3 linked regions of the Arabidopsis thaliana genome follow. The protein of the gene in region 2 interacts with the protein of the main gene of each other region in a biochemical or structural test. Each region holds a gene or a part of one and is shown on either strand. Other genes may lie near its edges.

What was found.
Region 1: the proteins of PHYB (region 2) and PIL6 form a complex in vitro, tested with the Arabidopsis thaliana proteins (2 studies listed by BioGRID, with this or other methods).
Region 3: the proteins of PHYB (region 2) and PIL5 form a complex in vitro, tested with the Arabidopsis thaliana proteins (3 studies listed by BioGRID).

The regions. Positions count from the first base shown.
Region 1 is NC_003074.8:21,827,393-21,832,388, forward strand, and holds PIL6 (phytochrome interacting factor 3-like 6), read right to left. Parts: upstream 3,446-4,996; 5' UTR 2,790-3,445; exon of another isoform or gene 2,511-2,789; 5' UTR 2,504-2,510; coding exon 2,433-2,503; intron 2,312-2,432; coding exon 1,585-2,311; intron 1,504-1,584; coding exon 1,438-1,503; intron 1,345-1,437; coding exon 994-1,344; intron 917-993; coding exon 797-916; 3' UTR 513-796; downstream 1-512. Other genes in the region: AT3G59070 (Cytochrome b561/ferric reductase transmembrane with DOMON related domain-containing protein), read right to left, coding at 4,972-4,996. UniProt on the Arabidopsis thaliana protein: Transcription factor acting negatively in the phytochrome B signaling pathway to promote the shade-avoidance response. Regulates PHYB abundance at the post-transcriptional level, possibly via the ubiquitin-proteasome pathway.
Region 2 is NC_003071.7:8,137,914-8,145,008, reverse strand, and holds PHYB (phytochrome B), read right to left. Parts: upstream 5,247-7,095; 5' UTR 4,931-5,246; coding exon 2,767-4,930; intron 2,679-2,766; coding exon 1,871-2,678; intron 1,781-1,870; coding exon 1,490-1,780; coding exon of another isoform or gene 1,360-1,489; exon of another isoform or gene 1,114-1,359; coding exon 858-1,113; 3' UTR 548-857; downstream 1-547. Other genes in the region: XTH21 (xyloglucan endotransglucosylase/hydrolase 21), read right to left, coding at 1-62; AT2G18780 (F-box and associated interaction domains-containing protein), read left to right, coding at 6,914-7,095. UniProt on the Arabidopsis thaliana protein: Regulatory photoreceptor which exists in two forms that are reversibly interconvertible by light: the Pr form that absorbs maximally in the red region of the spectrum and the Pfr form that absorbs maximally in the far-red region.
Region 3 is NC_003071.7:8,703,512-8,708,717, forward strand, and holds PIL5 (phytochrome interacting factor 3-like 5), read right to left. Parts: upstream 3,494-5,206; 5' UTR 3,274-3,493; exon of another isoform or gene 3,038-3,273; 5' UTR 3,028-3,037; coding exon 2,930-3,027; intron 2,842-2,929; coding exon 2,136-2,841; intron 2,004-2,135; coding exon 1,926-2,003; intron 1,837-1,925; coding exon 1,771-1,836; intron 1,689-1,770; coding exon 1,623-1,688; coding exon of another isoform or gene 1,608-1,622; intron 1,517-1,607; coding exon 1,178-1,516; intron 1,098-1,177; coding exon 1,014-1,097; 3' UTR 929-1,013; intron 849-928; coding exon of another isoform or gene 765-848; 3' UTR 513-764; downstream 1-512. UniProt on the Arabidopsis thaliana protein: Transcription activator. Negatively regulates chlorophyll biosynthesis and seed germination in the dark, and lightinduced degradation of PIF1 relieves this negative regulation to promote photomorphogenesis.

The DNA.
Region 1 (4,996 bases), on a different chromosome or scaffold from region 2:
TCTTATCTGTTTCTTCCACAGAGATCAACGAAGATCAGATTCGAATGCGTAATTTGAAGCAAAACAATGAGAAACAAAATCAAAGAGCGATAGAAAGAGAGAGGCTCAGGAGTCGGGTCGCAGCTTTTTCTATTAATAATCGTGTTTGTTTTCAGAGTGCTGATTTGTAAGATGCTTATTGGTTGACTTAATTAATCACATTCTATACGTTTTTATTATTTTAGTAATTTTTTTCTGCTTCGCTTTAATCGGAAACCTACACGCTCGAGTATGTGATTAGGATAAACTCGCTCCTCTTGTAAGACACGTGTCACTTTAGAAGGACATAATCGGTAATTTGATTTCACCGTTAACTTGAGGAAACTAAAAATCGAGTAGGTATGGGACTCGCTAGTCGTTACGTACGAATCGTGGTGGAGTAAACCACGTTAGCGTTTTCCGTTTTTTGTATAACGTATGCGTTTTGAGCAGTAATATGGGTTAATGTTCATATTCATAGACCCAAAAAAGCCCATGATAATGTCAAATGCAGGCCTAGTCTATCCTTTTTATTTTGTTTTTCTGATGAACCTTGAGAACAAATATAAAAGTATTGACACATGTATGATCTTTAGGTTCCCAACACTTGATTGATACTATAATTCAACTGTTTAAAAATAAGTTATAAGTATGAGACTAACTTATTAGATCTCTATAATACATTTGACTTAGCTTTTATGCTTGCTTAGGCGACCAAAAATAAATAACAATCACCAACTGTAAGAAGAATAATTTCGGAGGAAAACTATATGCCAAGTCAGCCTATTTTACCCATATGAAGACTGTCGGTGGTCGCCGGTGCCGACAGTTGACTTTGCGGTCCCGCCGGAGATCCAAATCCCAACATGTCCGCTGGTTGTTGTTGCACGGTCTGCATCTAATTTAAAACATGACACGTCAGATATTAAATAAATATATTTGTCTTTCTTCAAAACGATGCCGTCTGCAACTGACCTGATTTCCCGCCGGCGGCATCTGGGGAATCCCGCCCATGTACCTAGCGAGCTGCTCCGATAAGATTTGGTTCTGTGCTTGGAGCTGCAACTGTACCGGGTTTTGACATACTAAACCGGGATGGTTCTGCGGAGCGGACCGGTTCATAACCGGGAATTGAGACAATTGCATCTGACTTTGCATAGCCATCTGATTAATGTATGGAGATGATTGTACCCCGGGAAACATCATCGGACTTGCTGCTGCTGCTGCCGCCGCCGCCATTCCACTTCCCATCCACATCACTTGGAGTTGCATTTGAAGTGATTTTAAGTAATCAATTGCTTCATCCAATATCGAAGCTTTATCTGTCTACACAAAAAAAGAAGAAGACAAAACCATATTTAAACACACCAATCAATTACAGCTTAATTAACTCAGTTTTTTTGTGATGAAAAAACTTACTCTGCTGCAGTGAGGTATGAGTTCTTGAAGAGCTTTCATTCTTTCATTGATCCGATCTCTCCTCCTCTGTAATTAATAGACAAAGATCACATCAGAATTATTATTACTGAATGGTTGATCAACTAGTCAGAAATAGTATATGTATACCCTTTCTGAGAGATTATGAACTTCAGCTGCACGGCTTCTTCGAGTAGATCCTGACCGTTGGCTCGATTTGTTACCCATGGTTTGATCATCGGTTGAGGTCAAACCTATATCTGATTGAGACACAGATTCTTGATCAGCATCCATAACATGTTTTCTTTTACGGTCAATGGTTACACTTGTTCCACTAACGGTTTCTTTGTTGTTCCTTCCATAGCTGCAACCGGAGGAGCCACCTGACGAAGTGTCAAGTCTTTCTTCGACGTTCTTGCTTCTATCACTCATAGAAACCGGAAGTGTAGTGGCCTGATGAATATTTGTTGACTGGTTGCTGCCGCAATGACTCGGTCCGACTGTTATAACCGAGGATCTAAACTTAGGAGGAGCCATGGCTTGAGCCTCATGCTTAACTGTCTCTTCGATCGTTCGTGGCTTCTCAGGACCTCCGAGGTGATCGATCGAAGAGAAGAAATGAGAGGAGAACTCGGATTCGAAAGGGTCGATGACGTCATCCGGAGGGTATTGTATCCAGGAGACGGTTTCTTGATCATCTAGAGCAGCGTAGTTAGGCTTTTGTACTGTTTCTTGGTTGTCAAGAAAAATATTGTTGGGTTTTCTTAGGGTTTCTTGTTTGTGGGTTTGGACTTGGACTGACGGTTCTCTACGAGCTTGGCTTTGTAAAACCACTTGACCATCTCTCCACAATAGCTCCACTAATTCATCTTCTGGTCTGTCCCAACATATGAATGTTTACAAACATATTTTAAACAAACAATACTTAAATAGCTATGATTAAGATGTGAAATTGGTATATAATTATGAAATACTTGAATTGGAAAATTGATATATACCTGATTGATCTTTTATTAGTGGACATGTGAAAATTATCTTCAAAATTCCAATCAGCAAACACTTGTTCCATGTCAGATCTGTAAAGACACTTAAATAAAGAATATATTACTTTTTTGTAAGTGAATAAGAAATGATTTGATTCATAATTAGTATAATGATTAACAGGAGATTTGAGGAAAAAGGATGATGAAAGCAATCAACTTAGAAAAGATTATTCGAAATCCCAACAGTTTAATGATTAGAAAATAATTAAACCAAACAACCCTCTCCAACAATCTAGGAGGAAATGATTTAATAAAGCAACTAATTCTATATATAGTAAACTCTTACTAAGGGGAAGCTATAAAAGTAATTACCAGATTTAGAAGCCTCTGAATGGATGGAAGATTTAGCTATATCAGTTTTTTTTTATTGCTTCACACGTAACAAAAATCGAGCAAGGAGGGACAAAAGAAGAACAAAAGATTCTATCTCCAAAACCTTCTCGGTTTTATCTCTCTTCTAGATAGGGAATTGTTCTGAAACTGAGGGAGTAAAGTTGAAACAGAACAGTAACACAGAGAGAGAGAGAGAGAAAGAAGAAAGAGAGGCTAAGGTTCTTCTTGCCAGGTTCAGACAGAAAGGGACAAGAGCTAGAGGAGGGAAGCAGAGAGATTATTACGGTAAGTAAGCGAGTGAGCGAGGGGGAGATAATGATTCGGTGGGGGCAATAGTACTGAAACTGATCAGGATGACCGACACGTGGCGAATTGTCAGACAACTAGTTAAAGAGTTAGTGAGACCCACCAACTCGGTTGGATTTTGTCTGTGAAGTTGAGAGAGATCTATTGCTCGATTTCTAGAGGTGGGTTTCTGATCTGTACCTTATCTGCAACACTCTTTGAGTCTTGACCAATGATTAAGGGTGTTTTTGTCAAATCATAACACCCCTCTTATGCTTCTCTTTCAGCGAATAGTATCTCTAATAATGGTAAACAAAAAACAAATTGAAGTTCTCTATTTTCTACGATGCTTCGATGAGTTTATATCATCATCTACTATATGAATATATGAACCGTTTTATAATCATCTGAATTCAATTTCATGTCAGAGTCTCATTAAAACCCGAGCGGAAATAATCTTGAGAAGTCATCATTTTTTCCCCCGGCAAATTTCCACATCGCATTTATTTCACGTGTTGACTAGTTAAAGCTACCATCGTAAGTTTTTGTGTTATTATCATTCTCTAAACAACTGCAAGTTTATACATATAACTTTTAGTTGATTGTGAATTTGGAATTTATTAATTATACACAAAATTTTGGATATTAATAACAGTTTTGAACCTAAATATGCAATCACAAATTCACAATGTCGTAATAAACCGTGGACCGTTGTGACTTGTTTGTCATGGACCACAGACAAACAATGGTCCACCAAAATTATGATCACATTAATTTCCGATCCTTATCACAATAATTTAACAGTAGATCAGTTTCTAACCCTTATCACATCAATCTTATCGTTTAATGTGCATAACCCCTACCGATCTAATGATAAACAAACATATTATTAGTATGATAAATTCATGAATATATTACATTGCAACTTACAAGTAGACAGACAGACATATATAGTGGGTGCATTTGTGAAGAAAGCATCCACCGAAAGGAGACATTTCCCTTTAAAAGTCTTTGGCCCTCATTTGCTTTTTCCACGAAAGAGACGAGGTCGTAATAGCGTCCATTCAAGGCTATAGAAGGCCATGAGCCAAGTAACTCAGTTTTTGTTTCCAGCCATAGAAATAGTAATTTAGTGCAAAATATGGAATTTAAATATGAGTAGTTTAGTGAAAATTGCTGAATAATAACACTTTTTCTTCCGTATGCAAGTTTTTTTTTTTTTTGATAAATTATTTTGTATGCAAGTTGCTATTTGCTAGTTGGATGAATTAAGTTGATAGATAGATTCGTTCGTCGTGGACGATACATGTAAAACGTTGTTATCCCAATCAAGCAAAGAGGAACACGGTTACACAGATGCCAGCCATAAATCATAAAACCCCAAAACCCTTCGATTGCTATTTTATTTTTCTTATAATTTTTGTTTGCATTTGACTCAAATGATGTCGTTGTATTTGAATTTATAACTCATGTCGACATATAAGTCGTCGCCTAGTTGGATAATTAATTCCATCATCTTCTAAACCGATATATGAATTAATTCTATGCATATACATTAGATTTCGACGAAGGAACGAATCTATCAATCATCATTGATTAAGGAACCATATACATACATTAAATATTTATGAATATGCATATTCATAGGATGAAGATAACATCACATTAAATAGAATGACATTAGCAAATTGAATTTATCAGAAAAGGCCCAAAAGTTTTAAGTCATGTCATATAACAGATATTGTACTGTGTTGTGGAGATGCGTTATTGGGCCTAAGATACGGCCCAGTTTAGTCCGAAAAATACAAATTTATCAGAGAAAAGGGCCGAACAAAACGTCAAAACCCTAACTCTATAAGAGACCGTTCTGAAACATTCAGGCGGCGGTGGCGGCGATGGAA
Region 2 (7,095 bases):
AGCAATATGCTTAAACCAAGAAAGAGAGATATTGACATAACCAAAAGTGTACTAGAAACCATTATAAGTTTTGAAGGTTTTAGGTGGGTTTAAGGGTTTGAATTGGGTTTGAGACATTTAGAAGGCTATTGATTGGTGAGTATTTATAGAGCATATATAATGGAGTTTTGATTCCTTAATGATTAGTTATATATTGTTAATATTTCAGTCTTTGAGCTTTACTTTAATTTTCTTTAAGAAAAAAGGTGAGTTTAGTGTGGGTAATGTGAAAAACGAAACAGCCTGGAGAGCATACACATCAAAACTATAGTGCGATACATCATAAACATTAAATTAACTATTGTTAATGTGTTACATCCTAAGCTTAGCCAGCCTAATTTAAACATCTCACTTTTTATATATATAGTGGAGTTTGTAAAATTTCAACTTTTTGGACGGTACCATTTCATCATAAATCTTTTAAAATTAATGTGATTGGCCTTTACCTCTTGATTGCGTAGACAGACTAATTGGATATAATATGATTTATAAATGGTTAACAATCAAATAATAATTTTGAATTGATGTAACGAGTAACAAATTAAAAGGATTGGTCATCGATTAATATGCTCTCTTCTTATCTCATTGTTTTGTTTCTCTCGGAGTTGTCAATTTACACAGCACAAACAAAAGTCTTGAAATTCTCTACAACTACTGTTACGTTTTTTTTCCGGCGAGCTGAGCTGAACGCAAATAATCTCCCTCTTCTCTACTAATCTCACCGGAAACAAAAAAAAAACTTTCTATCCTCCTCCGACGTCGTTAGACACACAAACACTCATACAATGATACAAACTCTCATACCAACTGAAGTGTGACTAATATGGCATCATCAGCATCATGTCACCACTTCCACTAGCAGTTGACAATGGTCGCTTTCGAGGTACAGGGAGTTCCAGAATGATGAGGAAATAGGACCGTTCTGATTCTCGGATGTATTGAACCTCACCGTTCATTAGCTTTAAAATCTTTCGACATACGCTTAGACCTAAACCTTCAGGGCTTGTCCACCTGCTGCTATGGAACATGTCTCGGACTAGCTCTGGAGGCAGACCTTCACCTGGACACGCCATTCTGCAAACAACGAATAAAGACATAACAAAGACACCAACACATGAAACCCAAGTTTTACACTTTTGAGCTGGTTTTCATCAATTTGAAAACATTACATTCCTTGACTGCTAATTCTAGGCCTATGGATGTGTCTAAAAGTTCCCAAGTCGACTAAACCGAATACAAAAATCAAACTAATCTAGGTTCCAACTAAACAATAACCAAAACAAATAGTGAATTGGTTAAAACCTCAAATTCTTTAAACGCCTAAATCAAATTCGTAATTAACCAAACCAAATTCATTTTCTTTATGTACAAAATAAGGAACCAAAAAAACCGGATTGCATAATTTTGGTTATGGATATGTGGAGACAACAGCGGGAACAATGAAATGTACCTGAATTCTGTGCGGATGGCGGCGAATCCATCAGCCATTTGCTTTGAAAGTTGGCTTAAATGGATCTCCACCCACTCTTGAGATGGTGCATACCGGATTATACTCAGCAGAAACTCAGCCAGGAGCTGTTGAATCCTTATCTGGTCTCCAAAAACCTCTATTGATTTGATCTCTTCGGGAATGTCACGGATCAGCTGAAGACCTCTGTCCCTTAATAAGAACATCGCTTGACTTACAATCGCGTTTATGACACTTCCAAGGAAAAACTCTTCCCTCTTTAGCACAAATGAACTGATCAATGAAAAAAACAAAATTTGGGATTTGGTCACATTTTGTGAAGTAAGCAAAACTAGCTTCTAGATAAATTCTAACTATACTCACCCGTCTTCAATGCTTTCAAGATCCATGTCCCCGACGATCCTTGAGATCTGTTTCTCGCAAGAAACACTTGTTTCAAGTAACTGCTTCTGGTCCTCGTTCAAGTCTGTGGCCTCCAACAATGAGTTTGCGAAACGCATACCGCTCAAAGGATTCTTTATCACCTGACAAATATAAGCCAACTCTTTTGCCTTCGTGAAACACTCTGTGTCCTGCCTCCGTTGGACTGCTAAAGCTTGCTGCAGCTCAGGGCTCGGGATTTGCAAGAAACAGAAAGCCCCAATAACCTTTCCCTCGAGGCTAACCCGCTTGTTTGCAGTCAATAGAGCCTGAACAAACTTCCCATTGCGGTCAAAGAATGGGAAAGGGAACTTATCCGTATCTTGGCCACCAATCGCATTATGCAATACAATCATGAACTTGGTTAAAGCATCAGGACCCTTTAGCATGCAACAGCTCCCAAACACTTCCCCGACAATCATTTTCCCAATCACTTCACTGCGAGACCAACCCGTAAGCTTTTCCATCGCCATGTTCCATTCCAGGCAGCACGTGTTCTCGTCAGCAGCAAAAATTGGCGGGATTAGAGGGTTTGGGCTATGTACAATAGCCTTGTAATCTCCTTGTATGTTGATGAACTTATCCATTACGATTTTCTGACTAGTAACGTCTTGTCCAACAAAACAAACGCCGACAATGTTGTTCAAGTAGTCCTTGCTGGAACAAGCATTCACAACCACAAAAACTGCTTTCCCTTGTAGTTCGGGGCTGAAAGTTTTCAGCTTAACCTCCACATTCTTTTCCTCGTCCCCTGCATTGCCAAATGCAACAAAATAATCAAATACCCGCGAATTGGTATATACACCGCAGATACAACATAGCTGAAGAACTGAATATACCTCTCAAAGCACGAGAAAGAAGCTTATTGACAGTTGCTTCATTCTCTTTGTATATTAAATCAGAAACCAGAGACTTCCCCATAGCTTCTTCAACTGAGAGACCTGTCAACTCTGCAATCTTAGCGTTCCATCCATTGATGCAGCCTCCGGCATCCACAGCGAATATAGGAACAGTTGCAGTCTCAATGAGCCTAACCATCTCTCTTGCAACTGCACCTAACTCATCAATCCCCTGTTCCCCCGCCATATCCCTACATGGCTGAACCACACCATCCACAACTTTAGAGTTCATAGCCGCCTCAGATTCTTTAAAAGAGTCTCTCAGAATAAGCTGGAGCGAGTGAATCGCATCCATTTCCGCAGTTTCCCATGGCTGACTCCGGCTCTTAACAACTTCAAGAAAAGCCTGAAAGGACGAACGAGGATGCATTCGTTGCCCATCATCTTTATCCTCCGGATGATGCTTAGCGCCTCCCCATTTGATTTCTTTCGCAGTGTGAGATCGAAACCAAAAAAGAAAGTCTCTTTTTGTGATATATGCAACTGCCATACCGCACACAGCATCCCCTAACGCAGCTGCACCGGGATACCCCGCATCGCCTAAACTATCAGTGCTTAATCCGGTTGAATCCGCATGATTCGCAAGCAACCACTCCACAACATCTTTTATCTGAACTTCACTAGGAGCAACACCCAACGGGTAATACTTCCCGTGGTAAAGAAATGCTGCACCGTCACATTTCACTAAGTCCATGATACTGGGACTCTGTGTAACAATTCCAGCAGGCGAGTCACGCAGAAGCATATCACATAACAGTGTCTGCGTTCTCAAAACGCGTTTCTCTGACATTTGCAAAGCTAACTGCAATTCCATGTTTAACTGTAAACCGAAAGCCTGCATCAAAAACTCACAAGCATACCTTAGCGGAAACGGTATGCAGCGAGAAGAAGTGTGATGGCAAACAACCAAACCCCAAAGCCTCATCGAGCTTCTTCCACTAGCTACATTGCTCCCATCATCTTCATTTCCATTGATTATAACCGCCATTGCTAAAGACGCAATAGATCCCATGTTAGCCATATACTGAGAGTGACAACCATGAGGAGCCCTAAGAGTAGAACCAACCAAGCACATAGACTGAGTTAGCCTATCGTCCTGGACCACAAGAACAGGTGTGGCATTGCAATCTACTATCATTCGGACACGGTTCTGCTTAAACAAGAACCTTGACGCTTGAGGAATATCAGTAGCAGGATAATGCAGTCCAATATAAGGCTCTAAATCATCTCGTTTACTCTCAGCTACAACTTCTCCATGCTCATCTTCATGAAACTTATAAACCATAACACGATCATAACCAGTCAAGTCCCTCACACTTTCCACGACAGTGTCACACAAAAGCTTAATATCTCCACCAGGAAGAGCCTGTAACTGAGAAATCGCACGAACCGCGAGTTTCTGCGATTGAACAGCACCAGCAATAGAAAGCGCAGGATCTTCAGTTCTAGCTGGCTCTAAATCAATAACAACACCAACATCAATCCTATGAAGAATGGCGTAAAACGGTTTACCAGTATTCTTGGAATGGATCCAAACCGGATTTAACAAGGTAATCTCTCGAGCAACGAAAGCACGCTCGAGTAGAATCGAGCTCGAAGAAGTGAACAAAGATCTCACATCAGTTCCCATAGCTAGAATCTCAGGTTTCTCAAGAGTAGGAACAGATTGAGGCATAATCCCTAACATTTCTCTGGCGTTTTCACTGTAACCGATGATCCGGAAACTGGATTCATCGACGGCGATCATACATCCGAAAGGCTGAATGTAACCACCTCGCTGGATTCGAGAGAGATAAGCTGTGATCTGTTGCTCAGGTACAGAGGAACCGTACGTCGTCGTTTTGAGTGATTGTGAGTAGTCGAATGATTTCCCTGATTCGCCGGATTGTTCGAAAACGGCGTGGAGTCTTGCGTCGACGGTGTACTGTTGAATTGCTTTGCTCATTGATTCAGTGTTGCTTCTTGGTCTGAGAGATTTCGTTCCCGACGATTGAGCTTGTTCTCCTCCTCTTCGGTTATTAGGAGTGTGACTTGACGACGGTTCTTCTTCTCCGCCACGGCCACCGCCACGGCCACCGCCACTACCCCCGACTCCGGAAACCATGCCGTTTGATTTTGAATTTGAGAAATTTCTCAGAATTACCTTGAGACAAGGAAGGATTTAGGGTGAATCATCATCCACTAGTTATCGGAGACGAATTCTGGTAGAGCTAAATTCTCAAGAATTTTGAACTTGAGGAAGAAGAAAATGGGGAGAATTGAGATCGGAGATAAGTGGAGAAACCAATAAAATAAATTGAAGAAGACGAAGCAAAATGTGTGCCTCTCAGATAGAGAGAGATAACAAAAAAAAATCAGAGTTTTTTTTTTTTTTGTCGTCTTCGCTTTTTGTTTCCTCATATATTTTCTGCGACTTTTTTTGTGTGGCGATTTTAGCAAATTACCTTTAAAGTTTTGATATTTATCAATTTAACCCAGAAGAGCTTTTGTTTTGTCGTTTAATGTGAGGGAGAGATTGATTGGGCCCAAGATCACGTGGGCTAATGGTTTATTCTCTCTAGTGGCCACACGTGGTTGCTGGGCCCATTGCGCGTGGGAGGGAGCCCCTGGACTTGTCGAATCGCATCATCAATTACGATTTCGAATTCGTACTATACAAGTTTGGTTTCTTCAATATCTTATCGTGGGTCAAGTCAACCAAGTGGTGTCCTCTCTATACAAATATTGAAATGTTTTATACTCTCATCGTACGTATATACTTCTCATAATTTGTACTAGATAGAATATAGAATCACATATTGGTCTCAAAGGGGTTCGAAGTAGTATTAGCACGCTCCATGCGGAATAGAATCATAAATTTTGCATAGTAAACTCGTCTAATACATAAGATATATTTTGGTCCACTTTGATATATACGTTGGATCTATATCATTACATTTTGTATAATACATGCATTGTACTACTTAGCATTACGTTTTATTGAATATATGCAATTCTTTTTTGACATATTAATGATTCTAAATTTGGATTATTTGGTGAAAGCATACAATTATGGTGCTTCGAAAAAAGAACATAAAATAAATTAAAGTAATGATAAAGAGGAAAAAAAGAGAGCAGAAAAACATATAAATGAGAAAAATCGTGTGCATGAAAAGTTAAGGGTCCATTACATAAATGATTTTGGGCCGCTCACAGTTTCATGTTAAGTCACTGCGTTCGTCCTTTTCTTTTGTTGAATGACTAATTTCTCCATCTCGTGTTGTTTGTTTTCAAAGCTCTATCATAATAAGTTAAGTATAACCGACCACTTTTTCTTTTTAACACTATTACATATATAAACATCCATGTTACCATGTATGAAGACAAAAACGATTATCTTATATACCCATAAAATATTATGGACCAAAAGTGAATAGTGAAAAGAAAACAGAAAAAAATTGGAATGACAAAAGAAAAACACACTATTCGTTGACAAAACAAAAGTTTAAATGTTTATTAGTGAGTAATGACCTCATATGTTTTGGTCTTATCTTGGACGAGATATGATTGGATGTCCACGAATTTAATCATGTACCTGTTCGCACTAGAGTGTACTAGTTCGTTGGCTAAGAATCGTCCACGTACAATAGTTTTAAACCACCAGTAATTTACCACGTGCCACTGAAATCAAATTAGCTAATAAACTACTCAATTACCAAATCACCCTTATAAACTCTCAATGATTCTTTAGGCTTGGCTGCTAATTTCTTAAAACTTTTGCATAACTTTTGCATAAATAAGAATAAGACAAAAGATGAAATTAATATAAGGGTACAATCGTAATTCAAGAATTTCCAAAATTCGTTCTTTAGTATAACGAAGAACTAGCTAGACATTATTAGGCATTGGGGCATACTTTAAAGCCCAAAACTAAGCCCTCCCATACTAATAAATCAGGAGCCCAAATTGGAAAAAACGACTTTAATAGCCTTTGGGTAATACTTTAAAGCCCAAGCCCAATTTAGAAACATCTAACATTTCTGAAGTGTTCGTTCTCTCATAATCTCTGAAGAAATCAGAGTAAAAGGTAAAGTAAAATTTCTTCGATATGCAAAAACAATCAACGACGATGCTCTCGGATCTTCCAAAGGATGTGGCGGAGGAGGTGCTCTCGAAGTTTCCAGTGACATCTCTGAGAAGAGTACGATTCACATGCAAAAAGTTGAACACTTTATCCAAAGATATGTCTTTTACAAGGAAGCACATCGATAAAGAAGAAGCAAAGAAGAA
Region 3 (5,206 bases), 570 kb from region 2:
TCAAATACTATAAATGTTAAACTTCTTTTTACATCTTCTTTATTAAGCAAATACAAAATTGATTTAACGGTTTGATACATATATATGCATGTTTGTCAAGTCTTATGGTCATGGAGATAGCAAGTCTTAACGGTTTGAGAAATTTGTTTGCCTTTTCTTTTAGCTTTATATTTTCGATATTATGGTCATGGACTGGAGATACCATATTAGTTGACATCACTACGTTTTTAGATGAAGAGATCCTATGAAAGACACTACAAAATGGGCAATGCTTGGCCAATTACATCATTAATTTTCTTGCTTTTGTTTGCTGGCTTTTGTCCGTCTATTTACATATTTTGTGTCACATTGTGAGCTTAGTTGCAAGGACTAAGATTTGTTTGTGCATTTGTATCGATAAGTCTTTGGGACTTGGGAGTGGAACATTTGTAAATATTCACTGTTAAGCTTAATCAAGAATTGCTTTCGTCAAAAGTAATAATAATAGACGAGAAAAGAATAATGATCGGGTATGTATATGAACCTAACTTTCTCATATTTATTCTTTGCACTAAGCCTCTGCAACCTCTATGTATTGATTCCTAGATCTCTGGATCATTACATGTACAGCTCTCTAAGTATACAACCTGAGAAGAGAGGACAAAACAAACCAAAGAAAAACAAGAAACAGATGGCGATATATATACATGTTAGGTCTCTCTGTCAATTTCTCAAAATTGTGTTTGCTTGTGAAAACAGATCTTCTTGTTGCTCCATGGACATTATTAACCTGTTGTGTGGTTTCCGTGATCCTCAGATTCCTTACTACTACTCACCCTGCTCGAACTTGGATACGATGTTGCTTGATTCTAAAATAAGAAAGATAAGAACTTGTGACTTGTAAGCAGAGGAACTAGCCATTTTTGGGAAAAAGATGACTGTTTAGTACCTGAAACTGAGGTGGTTGGGTCGGGTCGGATAAGAAATTGTGTTTGCTTGTGAAAACAGATCTTCTTGTTGCTCCATGGACATTATTAACCTGTTGTGTGGTTTCCGTGATCCTCAGATTCCTTACTACTACTCACCCTGCTCGAACTTGGGTACGATGTTGCTTGATTCTAAAATAAGAAAGATAAGAACTTGTGACTTGTAAGCAGAGGAACTAGTCATTTTTGGGAAAGAGATGACTGTTTAGTACCTGAAACTGAGGTGGTTGGGTCGGGTGGAGACCGCGGAACTGCTGATATGGATCCGTGTAACCAGCTGGATACTGAGGCTGGCCCGAGGTTGGATCATACTGCTGGTTCGGTACAAAGACTCTTGACGGGTCAGAAGCATGAACAGGGTATTGCGGTCCTGACCCGGCCATGTGAGTTTGTGTAGGCAAAGGTCTTTGAGCGGCTAACATGTTGGGGAATGGCATGAAGGAAGGAGGAGGAATAGGCTGGTTCATACCCATACCCATCGCCATATGAGGCATGTACTGTTGCATGCCCGGATACATCATTGGCATCATTCCACATCCCATTGACATCATCTGCATTAATCTCAGTCATATAAACTGGAGTTTTCATGGTAAAGTGTACATTTTCAAGAACTTAAAAAGGGCTTTCAAGACTTAGAATCCTTTAAAGAAAATGAACCTGTATTTGAAGCTGAAGAGATTTCATGTACTCAATAGCTTCATCTAGCATCGAAGCTTTATCTGACTGAGGATCAAAGAAACAACAATCAGTAACAAGGTTAACGTATACAATAACTTGAAGAGAAAGAAAAAAGATCGTCGAAGACCTTGTTGCAGCGAGGTATAAGTTCTTGCAAAGCTTTCATTCTCTCATTGATCCTATCTCTCCGTTTCTGTTACCAAATCCGCGACATTCTTCAGATTCATTGCGAAATCTTTATCGAAAAAGATTACAAAAACATAAGAAAAAACACAAACGTACTCTTTCAGAGAGATTATGAACTTCAGCAGCACGAGATCTCTTGGTAGATGTTGTTGATACACGTGCTTGTTTTGTTTCCTGCACCACAAGAAAACACCAAAAAAGTTAATTAAAAATGCGCTGAAAACTACAAAGTCAGACTAAAATGCGCCGTATTTGACTTGCGCACGATAGCTAACAACGACTCTGTTCTGTGTTTTTTTGACTCACCTCGCTACGGGATTCAGTTTCATCAGTAGTGGTGGCTTCTCTCTCTTTTCGTTTCCTATCATCGACGTTCGTCTTCTCCGGTTCGATTTCGCTCTTTGACACTACAGATGACGATGTACCGGTTATCTCGATCGCCGGCGCCGTCATAGCCACTGCTTTTCCCTTCCGATTATACGCGCCGCCTCCAGCTACGGCGGAACTGTCAGTACCATCCGTCCGCCGTGTTAAACCGGATTCACTCGCCGCCGCCGACGGTGTTGCGCTAGGACTTACCTGCGTAGATTCTCTCACAACCGCCTTCGAAAGCAACGGTCCAGATTCACCACCTCTACCGTTATTAAAATCCCCTCTCAGCCTCGAGAAATTCATGAAGTTCCTCACCGGCGGCCTCGACTCATTCGTCGAAGATACTGGCGGTCTCGCGGCGGTGACTTGACTCACCGTCGCGGTAGCCGTCGCAGTAGGTGCGGCGGAGAAGAGAAGATCTGAGCAGAAATCATCGTCACGGAGAGGATAATGAAGCCAAGAAGTCATTTCATCTTCTTGAATAAAAAGATTCTGATCTGAAGAAGGTTGCTGCTGAGGATCCATAGAAGGAAGAAGCTTCGGTGGAGAAGAAGAAGGTTTCTTGGTGTGAAGTCTCTGGTTTTGAACAACAACTTGACCGTTCTGCCATAAAAGCTCCATAAGATCATCATCTTCACCCCTAAAGTTTTCAATACTATAAATACTCAGATCTTGAACTAATCAAACTTTTTTTTTTTTTTAATATAAGTTTGAATAAAAGAACTTACATAGTAGTAATGGATTTTCTAGGAAGATGATTCAAAGAAGAATTATGGTTGTTGACATAATCATCATCGGTATCGAAGTCAGGGACAAAATGATGCATATCTCTCTCTCTACAAAGATGATGATAATGGTAAGTATTAAAATAACAAACAGTTATCTTCTTCTTCTGGTTTTATAACCAAAAGAAAAACCCCAGAAAGATCCAAAAGAGTAGCACTAGTGAGTAAGTGTACTACACACAGAGATTACTAATCAGTGAAGAAACATATATACTACCCAGACTATATCTAACCTAGAGAATTGAGGTTGGTACTGGATAGGCTTCTCAAAAAAAAAAATATATCACCTTTATTTCTGGGGAACTAGTATTGGATGACTGGATCTTTTTTTTTTTTTTTTTGTGCTAAAGGATGACTGAATCTTATTCTGAATTTTCGTGCTTTAAGAATGTGATAAGCTTCTTAAGGGTTTTTGTCTTTTTCTTATATGTCTCTCTTTGGAGTTTGTTTTTGCCTCTTCCGTGACTCTAGCATGTATCGCATTTACTATTGTGTCAACTAACTTTAACAGTGAATTCTCTATTTTATTTATGTGTGTATGTGTCTGAATAGAAACTTGTGCCCATTTTTTAACCTCTGAATAAAAAACCAAGTTGAACATAAAAACAAAATGTCTGAGATCATTTGTAGCTGACGGAGATAAAATAATCAGCCTCATTGTTTCTCATCCGTACTATAAATTGTTTTCATGGCATTATCATCAAAAAAAAATTATTTTATAAACTTTATCCAATGATCCGGTTAATTTTGGTAAAAATATATTTAAGTATTACAAAATAAATTTATATTCAAGGATCATCACACATTTATTCCGAGTTTAGAATATTAACTGATTAACACTTAAACATAACTGAATCGCATGTTACCAGATTACCATTTAACTTGTCTGGACCAAACCTAGACATCCTACATGAATATAATTTTCTTTTGATAGAAGATCGAATACCGGATGAAATGGTATTTTAGCAATAAGACTTGAAAATGTGGTATTTTGAGAAATGTCTCAAAAAAATATGACTGACACGAAAATAATATTTTGTTTTAAGGGAGCCTCGAATTCTAGAGGAGTATTGTAGCAAAATATCACACTTTCAAGTTGTGTTGTCAAAATACCACCAAAAGTTTTGTTTTCCAAAAATATTATACTTCAATTTTGATTTTCAAGAGTTCATCAGAATTAAAAAAATTAAGTTTGAATTGACCATTTTAATTTTAAGATATTGTTTTTAGGGGTTAGGGTTTAGTGTTTAAAGTTTAGAGTTTAATTTTGAATGTTGGAAGTTAAATTTAAGTTTTATGTTATTTTAAGAAACCAAACATTAAGTGGTATTTTTAAAGAAATAAACAAAAACTTAAGTATCATATTTAAAAATTGTCCTTTTTTATATCGCTAAATTATAGATTTAAGACTACATATATCTTGCAGGAAATATTCCTTTAGTCTTGTGGTTAAATCCATTTGATTCCGCTTTTTCCACCAGAGTTTGACTCCACTAAATCGTGTTATCTTGCATAATAGATATTGGCTATAGAATAGACCATGTCAATCCAAAGATGTTAAAAACAAAAGACTACAACATATGCAAACATGATATTAAAGACTTAAGTGAGTCTCCTCTTCTATAAACAGAAAAGTCGAATGCTACATAAAGTGTTAATTTATAATCATTTATAGTAGTCAAGTTAGTGAACAAAGTGTTAATTTCTTCTATAATACTTCTTTTGTTTCTATTTTGTTCTAGTTTAAGATTTTGGTACATTGATTAAGATCATTTAGTTTCTGTTTTCTTAAATTTTAAAAATATGTTTAATTACATATTTTAAAATAATTTAACCAATAAAAAGTTGCAGAATTTCAAGAATCAAAAATAATAAAATAATAATAAATTTTGCATTGAAAACAACAAATAAAATGAAACAACTTATTTTTTTTTATAATCATTTTACCTTTTGATAAAGAGCATTTATCATTGATATGGGAACACGCACATATATATATATATATACACATTAATATGTATATACATATTTTTATATAATTCCAAGTAGGGAAGAAAGAAACAGAGAATCAGATATGGACTCACATTGGTGGGGACAATATTAAGACAGAAATTGGGTGTTTTTTTTATTGATAATCTCAATGATTTATGAGACAGGGTAATATGTTTATTTTTGTTGCTAAACCACCCTCTTGCATGATCTATCAAACTTAATTATTTA